Linked DNA regions of Styela clava. The protein of the gene in region 1 purifies or fractionates together with the protein of each later gene. This does not show direct contact. Links are inferred from orthologs where the notes say so. Each region holds a gene or a part of one and is shown in the gene's direction. Other genes may lie near its edges.

Evidence for each region. The genes of interacting proteins can lie anywhere in the genome.
Region 2: the proteins of YY1-associated factor 2-like (region 1) and protein max-like purify together in Homo sapiens (affinity purification with mass spectrometry; 3 studies listed by BioGRID and IntAct, with this or other methods). This does not show direct contact. The link is inferred for Styela clava from reciprocal best matches to the Homo sapiens genes YAF2 and MAX.

Annotation. Positions count from the first base shown.
Region 1 is NC_135253.1:13,466,296-13,473,554, forward strand, and holds YY1-associated factor 2-like, read left to right. Parts: upstream 1-4,257; 5' UTR 4,258-4,386; coding exon 4,387-4,418; intron 4,419-4,824; coding exon 4,825-4,931; intron 4,932-5,085; coding exon 5,086-5,165; intron 5,166-5,912; coding exon 5,913-6,019; intron 6,020-6,125; coding exon 6,126-6,225; 3' UTR 6,226-6,948; downstream 6,949-7,259. UniProt on the Homo sapiens protein: Binds to MYC and inhibits MYC-mediated transactivation. Also binds to MYCN and enhances MYCN-dependent transcriptional activation. Increases calpain 2-mediated proteolysis of YY1 in vitro.
Region 2 is NC_135255.1:8,057,726-8,064,771, forward strand, and holds protein max-like, read left to right. Parts: upstream 1-4,042; 5' UTR 4,043-4,243; coding exon 4,244-4,276; intron 4,277-4,687; coding exon 4,688-4,720; intron 4,721-5,924; coding exon 5,925-6,032; intron 6,033-6,352; coding exon 6,353-6,476; intron 6,477-6,705; coding exon 6,706-6,800; 3' UTR 6,801-7,016; downstream 7,017-7,046. Other genes in the region: uncharacterized protein LOC120330631, read right to left, coding at 225-303, 625-762, 1,225-1,227. UniProt on the Homo sapiens protein: Transcription regulator. Forms a sequence-specific DNA-binding protein complex with MYC or MAD which recognizes the core sequence 5'-CAC[GA]TG-3'. The MYC:MAX complex is a transcriptional activator, whereas the MAD:MAX complex is a repressor.

The DNA of each region.
Region 1 (7,259 bases):
TCACAACTATTTTTTTATTTTCGCCTTTTCATTTTATTTTTTTCATTTTTTTTTAAATTTTACACGTGACAACGATGGGCCACCATAGGCCAAACTTTTAGGTACAAATACTACAAAACTCACTTGGTTAGGCCCTGAACTCGTAATAGAACTAAAATAAGGAAAAAGGAATAAAATTTTGGCCTAACCCTAACGTGATACACATACTACGTTCCAGTGTCCTCGTTTCTTGGTACGCATACTTCAGGAGTACGGAAACTTGACTGTAAGCACATACATCTTAATCGTCGTTCTAGCTGCTGTGTTTCTTCAATTGTTTTCGTATTTCATGAGTCCTATTGTCCATCTTGTTGTTATTATTTTGGCTGCAGTACTTTGCGTATACATTTGCTCAAATTTTTTGAATACTTCCTCAAGTAGTGTTGTGGTTTGAAAGGTATTCGCTCATGAATGATTTGAAAATATTTTTCTTTTATATCAAGTGTCGGATGTTCAATAATGTGATGACGGAAATAAATTTCAGCTGCTTGCATGTGTTAAGATAGCTTTTGTATAATCATTGACTCTTAAAAAAGTTATTTATAGATTGGTTTGATTAATTTCTTGAGCAGAGCCCTGTGTTTCTGGGTTGCATTATTAACAGAAATTGCTGCTCTACCTATGCATTCCAGATTGTTGTCACATTCACAGAAGCTGCAGTGCGCAAATCACTGGTTCTTCGTTTCGTTTGACGCCGTTGAATTCTTTCTCATAATCATCACGGCAAATTTTTTACGTTTACTCATTTTATCTCTTATGAAGTTCCAAATCTAAACTAAATTTAAAGTTTTATTTACTGGTATATTCATTTATGAGGTTAAAAATCAGGACGTCAAAATAAAGATGTTTCTTAGAAATAAGGACAAATATTTCCTAAAACAAAAACCTTCAAAATAAGGACAAATTCTAAAAATAAGGACGTTGTGGCAGCCCTGATTATAGGTCAAGTGGAGAAAAAACTACTGTGTAAGCTACAAAACTTGAGATGGAGTGAGACCAAAATGCTGTGCTACTAAGCGTTTTTTTTATATATATTGTGCAAAGTATTCATTTTCATCACCACTTTACCTACATCTGACTGACATTTTTTGCAATGCATCGCATTTTTGATGCCTTGCTTTCTTTGGACAAGGAAGTTGTCACATCATCCTGGTCATTTGCAAGACGGACTGTGTCTTCATTTTCACAATTATTTGTTCATTTTTATCAAATTTCTTCGTCCCTCAGCAAATATTTCGATCAGTCATCAATGAACAGGGCTAGTTTTCGAGCTGTGATGCAGGAGCGTCGTCGTCGTTAAGCATCTTGTCTGAACAAAACCAACCGTAACGCCCGCCACTTGGAGGTGCAACATCACCTTTGTTTGTTTATTATACGGCGAGCGGAGTTGGACATTTAGTAGTAGTAAATATTTACGGTAATACAAACGATTTACACACTCAGTCTTTTACTACCTTCTATGACGTTATCGCAAAACAATCGAAGCCATTCTCAGATTGAGAATTCGTTAAGGAATGTATATTATGTAGGCCTAGGGTCACCATATTTTTTCGACTTCAAAGCGGGACGCCACCAAAGACACGACCCCTTAGCTGTGATCCTGTAACTTTACAGTTTCCGATTTGACTACATAGGCCTGCATTTAGAGCCATCCCGGCTCTCTTCATTGACCATATTGTCATCGAGAGTTCATGCGCATACTCTCTGTCCAAATATCGGGTTCAGTTCGAAAAATAGAAAGGAACAGACGCTAATGATACAAATTATCCAAATTCAAATTTTTTGCATGTACAGCAAAAGGAATAAAGAAACAGTCTGTCGTTTTCAAGCATTGAGAATTTATTTATTCGCCCAAGCATGCTTTTCTGTAGATAACACCTTCAAAAAGACGTTGTTCAATGTTACATTCACGTGAACGTCCGAACAGGACCAATTAGATTTGCATTTACATGTGATACGTTCGCTAACAATGTTAGCGGGAAACAACGAAACAAACAAAACATTCACACCTTCAGTAATTATAGTAGGCTAGCGTTGCGTTACACAGCAACAACAGTAACGAGAACATGTTCGTGTATTATTTCGGCACAGGCACCGTCACACGACTTCTAATTGTTTTCACCACTTTTGCTCATCAAAATTTATTTACAATTTTACAAGTAAGCTTTGCCCGTGAATTATACTCTCGGGTGTTCATGTACATGCTGTTTATTAATGTTTTCAGTAAAATTACAATGATGTGTTTTCCACTTGTGTGAGGTAAATGTGTGGGTAAATGGGCACAAACGCTTACAGCGTTCGCTATAAATCTTCCTCTAGGTTTTGCCCATTTCACCGATCTTTTCGTCACCATTGTCTGTGTTTTTATTTTGTGTTCTGTGTTATCAGGTTGTAGACGAAAGATCAAAATAAAATTGCCCTTTTCCCCGATCTTTTCGTCGCCATTGTCTGTTTGTTTTAATTTTGTGTTCTGTGTTATCAGGCTGTAGACGAAAGATCAAAATAAAATTGTATTGTTGTATTGTATTATGCTGGATGTCTGAACGCCAAAGCGGAACTTTTGGCTGACTTGTCGGGACGGCGGGACAAGACGCTAGAAAGCGGGACTGTCCCGCCTAAAGCGGGACGTATGGTAAGCCTATGCAGGCCTATTGTTCGGGTTGTCAATGATTTACGTCCGGAAATAAATGAAGTGTTTGCAAAAATAGCCTGTCAAAACAGACCATACCTCTTCATGTCGAAGAGCTTGAGAATTGTATAGCGGAAACTTTAATTGCAAAGGCGGGAAATTTTTCATCGCATTACTTGGCGCTTGACGAAAGCACTGACATCAAGGTTACTGCTCAGTTGGCGAATTTGGTGTGCGGGTATCATTTGTTTTTTTATCAACCTATAGTCAGTGTAGCAAAACTAGAACATAATGCTATGTTAAGAGGCCCGCGCAATTATTAGTAAACTACGTGTGGCCCTTCGGCCAAGAAGGTTGAACAACCCTGGTTTATAGCGAACGCTGTAACCAGACCGAATTCACCCACACTCACACAAGTGAAAGAAACACATCACGACAATTTAACTAAAAATCATATACAGCATATTAAAACTCGAGAAAGTAATATTCACGGGCTAAGCTTACTTTTACAGTTTTATATATATATATACTGGTGAGTAATAGTGGTGAAGATTGCGAAATAAGTAGAATGAGGGTTATGTGTCGGTACATGTGCCGAAATGCGAATCCTAATAATGACATCTAAGACTAAGTGATTAACATTAGCTGCTGTTTCTCCTATTCTTAGTAAACAAACAAAGCTTAAAAAGTAAACCAACAAATGTAAAAACTCGAAAACTAGTTTCGGGCGTTGTTCTTTGTTTAAAAAAATGGTTCGAATTTAGAAAGTTTTCATATAAAAATTTATAATCTTGAGCATTTTCCAATGATGGTCATCCATGAAATTAGCTTTTTTTAACCAGTTCCACAAACCAAAATCTCCAGAATGCAGACAGGTCGGCTGATATCCTTAGTAATCTAACATCTCTTTTCGTCGAACGCTTGAGAATCCAGTTGTGAAAATTTTGTCTGATCTTCAGTTCAGATAACTTTTGTTTCTTTATGATTATCACGAACTTTTTCTAAAGATATCACATTCCCAGATAAGTAGATAACAGCCCTTCCCATTCTTTTTTCCATCAAGTACATTGAATCAGATCTTTTCCTGTGTCCATTCCATATACCACGTTTCAATTATAAATATTATTGCCGGTACCACGTAGATTTGCCATCAAAATTCTAGCTCAGAAAGCATAATAGCACATGAAAGCAAGAAGTTAAGTCTATGAAATTGAACTTTTTAGAAGCGGAGATTATTAATGTGAATCGTTATCGCAGACCAACGGTTACTCAAATGTGAAATGCATTTTCCTTGAAACGCTTACATCAGTGATTTTCAACCAGCGTTACGCGAAATCCTAGGGTTCCGCCACTACAATCCAGGGGTCTATATGATTATGGTACTATATATTATCCAAATATAATCAAGTACACTGGAGAGGCCGTGGTTCGCCATATGGATAAGCCGTCTTATCGGCTTTCCTTTCCCCCGGGATAAATATGTAAATCCTATCCTTTCATCCTATCGGTACCTTATACACGAGGCGAACGAAATTTTCTTTATATTTTGTTACCGAGTGCATTATTACCAGACTCCTTCCACCAGGGCGGCTTGAATGGAACAACAATAAATAACACAGCAAAATCTCTATCTTTGCGAGTGCGTAATGCGTGTGTAGCCGTTTCGCGGTGGCTTCTCTTCTTACTTGATTTATAATAATTCGAGCTGCGCGAAATCAATGGTCGACAGAAAAGCAAGTTCACAAACAAGGTATTACTGTAGTTCGTATTCTAGATTGGTACCGGTACGGTAGGCTATGGTTTATCGTGCTAAGAGTTAGGAATACCTTACTCGCTGACTCTCGTCATTTTAAACCTCTGCCTAACATGTTATGTTGTTTGTTAAAACTGATGTGGCCAGTTTATCTACTGCCAAACCGATTTTTGTTTTTAAGTCTCTATTTTCATTATAAACTACCGTGTTTAATTTGATGGTCAAATCTTCTGATCTTTAAGTAAATTGTACCGGTACTTTACAAATTCGTTCACTGACATTCTAATGCTATCATGTAGTCTAAAAACTATCTCAAAATCTTACCTCTTTTGGTCCTCATTACAGTAGTTTAACTAACTATGTAACTATTACTGTTTCAAAATTTATTTTCAATTCATTTTAGAAAAAGGCTGGCGAAGGCATTGCAAGATGATTTTTGGGATTGTAGCGTCTGTACCTACAAAAACTCTCCCGAAGCATTTAAATGCTCTGTGTGTGATGTGCGGAAGGGTATTTATATACATGCTGACATGCATTTCATTTAATTGATGACTTTTAAGATATTTTTTAATCAAAATCTTGCTCTGAGTAGTTCTACATGGAATGTATCAGAGCTTATGTCAATGTAAATTATCTTGGGCTAAATACAACATGACATTTGCAGGAACATCAACAAGAAAACCAAGATTGAATCAGCAAATAGTTGCTCAGCAAGAGGCAACAAGATTAGTTACTATAACCCAAGTAAGATATAAAATTGCTTGCCAAATGTTAAATTAAATAGTTTTAATCATTTTTTATGGGACCTAAGACAGACATTGCCAAAACTGAAATTTAATATGAGGTATATTATAAAATATGTCACATGTGAGATAGAGTAACTGTTTCTATATCTCTCTCTTGCCTTTTTTAGAATGTCCCCAAATAACAAAGTCATTTTATTTTTTATTATTCATATTTTATCAATATATCGTGACATATTGACGCCTGTTTTACTTTACCCATTCAATGCCACTTTTGGTGTGTCCAAAATACCTAGTTTCAAAGGAAACTTTCAAATTCTTATTCCTGAAATGAAGAATTTCCAATATCAAACAACAAATTCCAAATATCCAATTTATTTTAGTCATGCCGCGAAATGCGACTTTACTTAGCTTATTGTAAGGTTCCCCTTTGTCATCAAAAATTCTGTGCTAAAAGATGTACCCAAGAACCTCTGATGTTCTTTTCCTCTTAGATCTTTCTCTGGCAATGTTGAATCGATCATAACCTCTTTCTGACATCTCTATGGGCGGTATAATCTCACCTACAGGTCCTTTTAATAAATCATCAATTGCCACTTGGAACTCTCTTATTCCTAGTCTTTCCACTTGGCGCTTGCCTCCTTGTTATAGCTAACCTGCAGAAAAACAAATATCCTAATTCTGTACCATACTAAAGCTTAAATATTAAATGTACGGTAATTAGAATTTACCAAGTACTTTATCTCAGGTGCCTCAAGCTACTCTTGTCCATCCTGCTAAAAAATTGAAAGAAGAGTCTGACAAGTCTCCAGAGCCATCAGAATATAAGAAACGAAAGAGAAAGAAAAAAGCAAGGTTTGTATTCATTTATCATCAAGGCAAGAAATTGGCGTATTGTTAATCTCTTTCAATAATGAATATTTGAAATGTTTTTTTGTCTGATTAAATTGCATTTTTACAGATGCCATATAAAAGGAATAGACAGAAGCTCTGCGGATACTTATACCATCACAGTAAGAGACAGTAGCATCACTTTTACAGAATTCAAACCGAAAAAATAAACACAGTATAGAATGAAAACATGAGTGAATTGACACTTGGTTCCATTCTCTGATTTTAGATATCATTTCATTTTATTTCGTTTTGACAAAAATTAAATACTTCTGGTGTCAAAGTGTTAAAACCTATGGCATATGATTAGGAGCCTGGCATGGAAATAAATTGCTCCAAAAATAATGTTTCAGAATAACTTTCCTGATCATCGCTTTGGGTGCCACATTTTAGCATATTTTTTCTCTTGGACCGAATGCTTCCTACAATTCTTTTTGCATGTTGAGATATTTCATATTTATATCTCATTGCTGTTGTGATCATTGCTTAATGTCAATGGTGAATGGAATGGTTTGTATATTCATAGACCGGACAAGCATTAGTGCAACGAACACTTCATTCCATATGTAAACAAGCCTCCAATTAAATTTGATTGTTAGAATGTCAGTGGTGTCATTGGCCTACTGACTGCGTTTTTTTCTTTAATTTTACTTTAAACTTTGTAAGTGGTACTGTCTGTCTGCTTGTTTAAATATCAAGCCTAAGGGATTAGCCATATAACATTTTATTTTGAAGGCAATTTAACATTTTGTATATATTTGTGTTACATCCAAGAGGGCTTAAATATTTGCTAAGGACAGACAGTATGAGCCTGACTTCTGTTTGGATTTTTAACTATCTGTTATATCATGTTACTAATTTTCTTAATAAAACAGTAGCTTTTCATATGCAAATTGGTTTTGTGAGGATTATCAAGTTTTCAGCTATGAGAAATGGTGGCATATGTATGAACAATAAGCCACATGGGTGGAGTAACAGAAATCTGCCGTTGGAATAGCTTTCAGAGTCATAGCCTAAAAACGCTACTCTCAGCATACATTAAAAATTATTTGTCATACTTATTTATTTACACAACACAGATGTCGAAAATCTAGAAGGCAGATTTATATGAAGTATTTTAAAATTCTCTCATCCAGATTCAGCCACCAGTTGGGCGTCTCATTATACCATGTGCTCACTACCACCTATATCGACCGTAGCACGC
Region 2 (7,046 bases), on another chromosome or scaffold:
GCTTAAGCCAAGGTAGGTGTTGCCTCTTTTTCGTGAGGATTATTGTATATCCAAGCAAAGGGCTATAGTACATCAGGAGCCGCTATTTCTCTATTTTAGTTAAATGTGGGCAGTCTGTTCATTTATTTGTGTTTCCCACATCTCTGCTTATCATTTTAAAGATCCTCGCATCTAATGGAATTATTAACCGCATCTGCTGAAAAATTAAAATACTGCAAACCTACCTATGATGCAAATTTCCCCGTTGTTGCACTTTTCAATAAATTCACCATTACTCCAAAGAAATGGTCGATCGTCATTTCCCTGGAAGTATTGGGAAGACACTTTAAAAAAAACGTAGTAAATATCCTCAACGCAAGTGACGCTAGACAACCTTATTTATCGTAGTGCAAGGCCGAGCTTATTCGTGTTCGTGCAACAACCATGTTCAGCGGTAGGATTTTACTCGTAGATGCCTATAATTCGACTAAACGGCACTAGCGTTCACCTCACAGATGATGTTACAGCATTCTTACAGATGTGCGAAGTCACTTTCCTCATTTCAGATTTATAAGTTTTAAACAAAAAGCTATAAAACAATACAATATACAGAAGGATTTTTGACAAAACGAACAGCAATCTTACTTCAGTAGTTAGATTTTCAACAAGATGGTCCGAATCAAAATTATCAAGATCCAGAAAAGAATACCAATCGTTGAACTTGAATCCTATTTCTCTCAAGTGGTGTTCAATACTAGCAGTATTCATAGACACTCCTCCGACCTCAAAAATAGTATAAAGACATTACGTCACTAAAGAAAGTTACGCTTTTGAACCTCATTGATAGAAAAATATAACCAAATGGGATGAAAACTCAATACATTAAATTGTGCACCCAAATAATTGATAATAATTCTAGTCTGAAATTGTTTTTGGAACTTGACTTGGTCGAGTCTTGCAAATGACCGGATTCCATTAGCAAAAAAACAATATAATAGTTTAATAATAATGCACATTTTATATAAGCTGCATCATTTCACCTACATTGCTAAATAGTAAGACCCACTTAATTCAGCTCAAAATTATAAATAGTAAACAGTATTTGCACCTGAAATCATTCAGACAACTTCCGTAAACTTTGAAAACAGTTGGAATTTCATTGCAAAAAGGGTGAATCCATACAGAACTTTAGACAATTAAGAAGATTATTTGAAATACATAATAATATAATCAAAATCACCGTACCATTTTGCAATATAATTTGTCCCTCGATCAAGTTGCTTCGCCTGTCGCTGTTACCAGGTAAGATGCTATCCGTAATCAGCTGTTTGGGTAACATTATGACGAGTAGAAACGCAAAACATGTGTTTAGATACTTTATTGCGTCATAACGGGAAAACATGAGCTCGCCATTTAAATTCCATCATGCCCATCAGATTAACAGATAAGCGCTCTCCATTTCTTCAGGGGTTCCTCGTTACTCCATCTTTAAACCTATCAAAACGGTTCATATATTTGATTGCTTTGGTATTTACTCTTTTAGTACCGCGACCCCCAAACATAATAATTTTGATGAACTGAACTGTCTCTGCTTTCCCTCCCTTCAATGTCGAAAGAAAGTAATAAAGCATTCATCTACATTTAGCCTGTTTGGTCTCATCTTGATTTGGACATATTCTGTATATATTCACGTATCCTGACAGCGCGGAAATTTCATGCCAAGTTCTGCGTTTCATGTATGGTAGCGCCAAAAAATGAAGTCTTCTTTACTGCACGTTACGAAGAAAATAAAAAAAAAAACTGCAATACAATTCCGTATTTGCATAAATATATGTTGAATAAAATACATGCACGGATGGCTAGCAAGATTAACAGATATGCAAAAAAGTATACATCGCGTGTATTACCGAGGAAAAAAAACTTGAAAAGAAATAAAAATCTTCGATCTTTCACTTTATTAGCAAATATCAATTTCTTGAATATGAACGCAATGTTCGTATTTGCACAGGTACATATAAATGATATCAATCGAACCCGAAAGTGAAGTATTAGTTGCAAAACAAGACCATTAAAAGCAAACAAAACACGTGGGTTCAGCGCATGAGGGCCCGTTCACATATGTTCACACCATTGCGTTGACGCACCTTAAAACCTTGTTTATTTAACTTAATCGTGCGTTGCTGCGTTAACGCATTGCGTCAACGCAGTGCGTTGTTGGAAGACAATTCTTGCGGCTTGAACCAATTCCAGTTTCGACAGAAGTAAATGCACTGGTATAACACGTATAGCTTTAACTAAAACGTATTTGGCAATAATATCGCCCATATAATTTTTACAAGCCGACTAGTCCACTAGTCCAGCTCGCGGTATGATCGACATGGTTTACTATATACCAAATTAATTGCAAGAAAGCTCACGGCCTCCGGCCAACTCAGTCGGACACGTGACCCACCGAGTGACCAGCGGTAACCCATAGTGAGGCGTTGACCACCGAGTTTATACCGAGGCGCGCTTTAAACATTGTTTCTTTATTGTCCCTACCTGCTTTCACAGCGCGGAAGTTAACTGATTCGCAACCAATCAGACCGCTCCGTTACACAGAAGTGAGAGAAGTGAGGTTGTTGTGAAAATGAAATAGGAGGGCACGTGTATTAGGTGTATTAGGCGTGAGACTTCAGCGAATACCGTAGTTTTCATAAGTCGTTTGCTTTGTTTGGCTTTCCTTTAGTCTCGGTGTTGGTTCCCGTTTTATCGTCATCTTAAATTTCGCAATACATGGGAAATATCTTATATAGACAAGCTGTTGTGTTGAAGGGGTTCATATTCTAGTACCGGTACTGTAGTAAATTATTACAGCAGAATCGAACCCCTCCAAACGTCTCGGGTCTGTCGGTGAACAGGTGAAACCATTGTCTGATTGTTAGCATTCTTATTTTAATTTTAACCAACTAGGCTACTCGACTCGATTTTGAATGTATAAATAGTTCAAATTATTCTATTCCTATTGTTTATTACTGGGAAGATCTGAATAAAGGTAAAAAAACAGAATTACAGAATTGAGTTGAGAGAAAAGAGAAATTTTTCTGATATTTCGCTTTGTGTGACCAAGGTGGTTTGAATAAACTGATTCTAGTTTTTTTTGAAACGAACATCTACGGACTGAATTACCCTAACTGCTGAACTGTCATCAGAAAAATAGTTGCAAATGTCATAACATCATGCGCTTAAAAAGCGAGAATAGGGTACCAGTATATCTTTTCTGAATTCCAGAACTCAATGACATTTTAGATAGTTTTGTAGTTATTAGTATCGAACTACTTCAAGTAAAGTTTGTATGGTGTACTCCTGAATTATGTTTTCTTCAAAATAACCGACTGTGTATAGAAAAAGAGTAATAGTTGTAACGGTATATATATTTCAGTATTTATCATTGAACTGCTGGAATATTGTTGTTTGATGCAAGACTCTGTCAGTCTGTAGTGTGTTCCTAATGCAATCTTCAGATCTTGAGTGAACAAATGAGTCTCATGTATTTAGTGTATTGCAATTAGGTTTTTTGATATTACTGAAAAAACAGCAGCTACAGCTGCGTTACTGCAGTTCTAGGATTTTAGCAATCCAAAAATCTGCTTGTTCACAAATTTGTGGGAAAAGATATCAGATACCAAATTGAGTCCCTTCCACTGTAATATCTTTCAATGGTCTGTCAGCCTCTTTTTATTCAATTTGGAAACTTAGTTGTTATATTTTCCTGATTATAATATGAATTGTGTATATTATTTATTACGGATACTCTATACTGCCATAGTATGCTCTGTTGTCCATCACTTTTCATCAACAGCAATTTAAATTGTTCCATCAAAAAGTTATGCTCACTTGTTTTTGAGAATTTTGTTTCTTTTCATAATTCGTATCGTTGAACACCAGTTTTGTAATTTCGTTAAAAAGATCAATGTCATGGTCGGAGAGGAGCTGTAATAAAAAACATTATGCGGATGAATTTGACCATGGCATCTCTGTTGTGCCAAGTGCGTGTTGAAGTAACCTCGCTTTTTTTACTTATCCATATAAAAAGCTATTAATATCTTGTTTATTTGGATTGCTTTCACAAAAGCATCGATACTTAATATCATATTCTGATCCGATCATAAGCTGCATTTTAGTATTTTATTTCATGGATCTGTGGTAACAGGATTATTATTTCCATCTTTTGGCAATACCAACTAGCAAGCTGGATCACCAATACACAAAATCGTATGATGAAATGAATGATGTGGATATTGATGTTGAAAGTGAGGTAATGAGAAAGTATTTGTAATGTATGATTGACAGATTATATGCTCTGCATGATGAAATGCTTCTAATCAAACTCCTTGGGTAACAAAAAAAATAGTATCCATAAAGTTCTTGATCATTCTACAAAAATGAAGTTCTGTTTGTGTATAATTTTATCTAAAAGTTCCAGCAATCTGGATTATTTTTACACAAAAGTTGTTTTCTCTAGAATGTCTGAATGTGTTCCAAATGACCTAGGTTCTGTTTTTGGGTTACCCTGTACCGACTCACAGCAGAGTCTCAAAGCTTTCAAATGATAGAAGAATGAAATTGTGACATTAACTGTATACTTCACTTCAAACAATTTCAAAATTAAAGTTTTAAAAATATCTTTTGACTGCAAAAAATAAAACACAGCAACAATTTGTTTCAGGATGAAGATCGTGAAAGTCCAGCTATGGGAACTGTGAGTTTACAGAGATGTTTTTTGTTTGTTACGAAAGTGTGTTACAGGGTGGTTGTACTATTGACATGCAGATAAAATGAAGAGCAAATAAATGCCCCCATGCTGACATGAATCATCTCTGTTACATTTCATATGCAATGTTTGCCTAAATATGTAACTTATTTCACAATGTTCTCGCTGCCATGGTGTTTGCCCCAATATTTGCATACTTAATTTCAATTGAAGGGAAATCTGTACTCTGTATTATCAATTTTATATACAAAAAGCAGATTCAGCTTTAATAAACAACAATCTATCTAACAACAATATTATCCCTGTATGTAGATACTTTCTCTCTGTTCATTTTTTGATTTCTGTCATACAGGGTGTCCAAAAAGTTTCGCCCGATTTCATAGCAACCTCAATTGCAAATTTGAATAAATTTTGTTTTATGCTAAATGGGGACTACAAAATCCAACATTTATAACATCCAATTAGATACAGGTTGACTATAAATCATTTCTATAATTAAAAAAAAAAATGGTTATAAAAACTTTATAATAGGGCAAAACTTTTTGGACACCCTATACAAATTATTCAGAAATATTGTGTTTATGTTTAATTGACAATAAGTTGTTTTTTCTCCATGCACACTAAGAAAAGATAGATAAGAAAAGATTTACATATTTATCCCGGGGGAGAGGAAAGCTGATAAGACGGCTTAACCATATGGCGAACCACGGCCCCTCGTTCGGTTACCATTCCATGGAACCACCCAACGGCGGCGAGGAGTCCAGCAATCCTCTCGCACATAACCATCCCGCATGGGATTCGAACCTGCGAACCCACGCAGAGTAATTAGAGGTGCGGTGGCGAGCGTATTCCAAACGCTTAGCACGATGAGCCACACCGCCGCACCTTGCACACTGTTTTCAACCCTTTATTTACATTCGTCGTTTTTTATTTTGGTAGGTGAGTCAAAGTTAGCTTTGTTAATATCTCTTTCTCGACTCGCTGATGGACAATTATCCTTTTATCGATTTCGATCCTTTTATCGAATTCGATTTCCAATAGGTTTTCACAAAAATATCAATTCGTTTTGAACAGTTTTTATGAATTAGCCATAGATTTGAAAATTGTCTTTAGATAAGAGCAATAAGTTTGGTTGCCACTTTAATGTAATTCAGTGAATGTACACTATAACAAACTTTTTTTATCAATTAAGTCCAACAAAAGAGCTCATCATAATGCTTTAGAAAGAAAAAGAAGAGATCATATAAAAGAAAGTTTTAATGGACTTCGTGATTCTGTACCATCATTAGAGGGTGAAAAGGTGACTTCTAAATTGTAATCAATATTATGTGGATAATCAGTTTTAGACAAATACTTATGAGCTTTGTTACTTATCGATTTTAATCGGTAAGTATGTTGATAGGTATTTGTCTGTCTGTCTGTATGTCTGTTAGATACCAGCGATATCTCACGACCAGAAGCCTATTGATTTTGGGCGAATTATGTTGTATAATTAGCGAGTTATTAATTAATTAGTGATGGGACACAAGGTGTCACTATGGAGTAAGAGTGCTGTTTCGGGGATCCCCTAACTTTCGATCGATAAGTCTTTGGTCTCTGACCGATATTCTCGTTTTACAGTCATCAAGAGCACAAATTTTAAATAAAGCCACAGACTATATTCAACTCATGAAAAGGAAAAATGTAACTCATCAACAAGATATAGATGATTTAAAGCGGCAAAACAGGCTATTAGAGCAACAAAGTAAGTGTTGAAAATGAGTATTTCCGTTAGGCATATACCGGTATATATATTAAATTCGCTGTTGGTCTTATGCAAACTTTTAAAATGAGATCAGTTTCAATGGTTGTGGGTATCTCACTTAGAAAGGGACCGACTGTTGTTGAATTCTTAATTATTTCTTGTGAAAATTTGCAATTTCCAACACATAATATTTTTGTAAATTGCAATTGATATATTGATATGTTTTCAGTTCGAGAACTTGAAAACTCAAGTAGACAATTTGAACAAAATGGAGACACAAGTGAATTAGATTCTGATGAAAGTGCTCAACAACAATCATCATGAACTTGCCTCAACGCCCATTATAATAAACTGTGAGGTGCATTCTATCCTGATTTCTGTTCTTCTCTTCCATTGCACATTTACTTTTTAGTTCAGCTCAAATAGTTGCTGACCTGTACATCCTTTTGTACCGCTTCGCTTCATTGAATTCTAGCATACAATCCTGTATTTTTTGATCTTTTATGTATTTATATTAATAAATTTGATGTATTATTATAATTTGGGGCCCATGGTCGTTATGCTATGGGT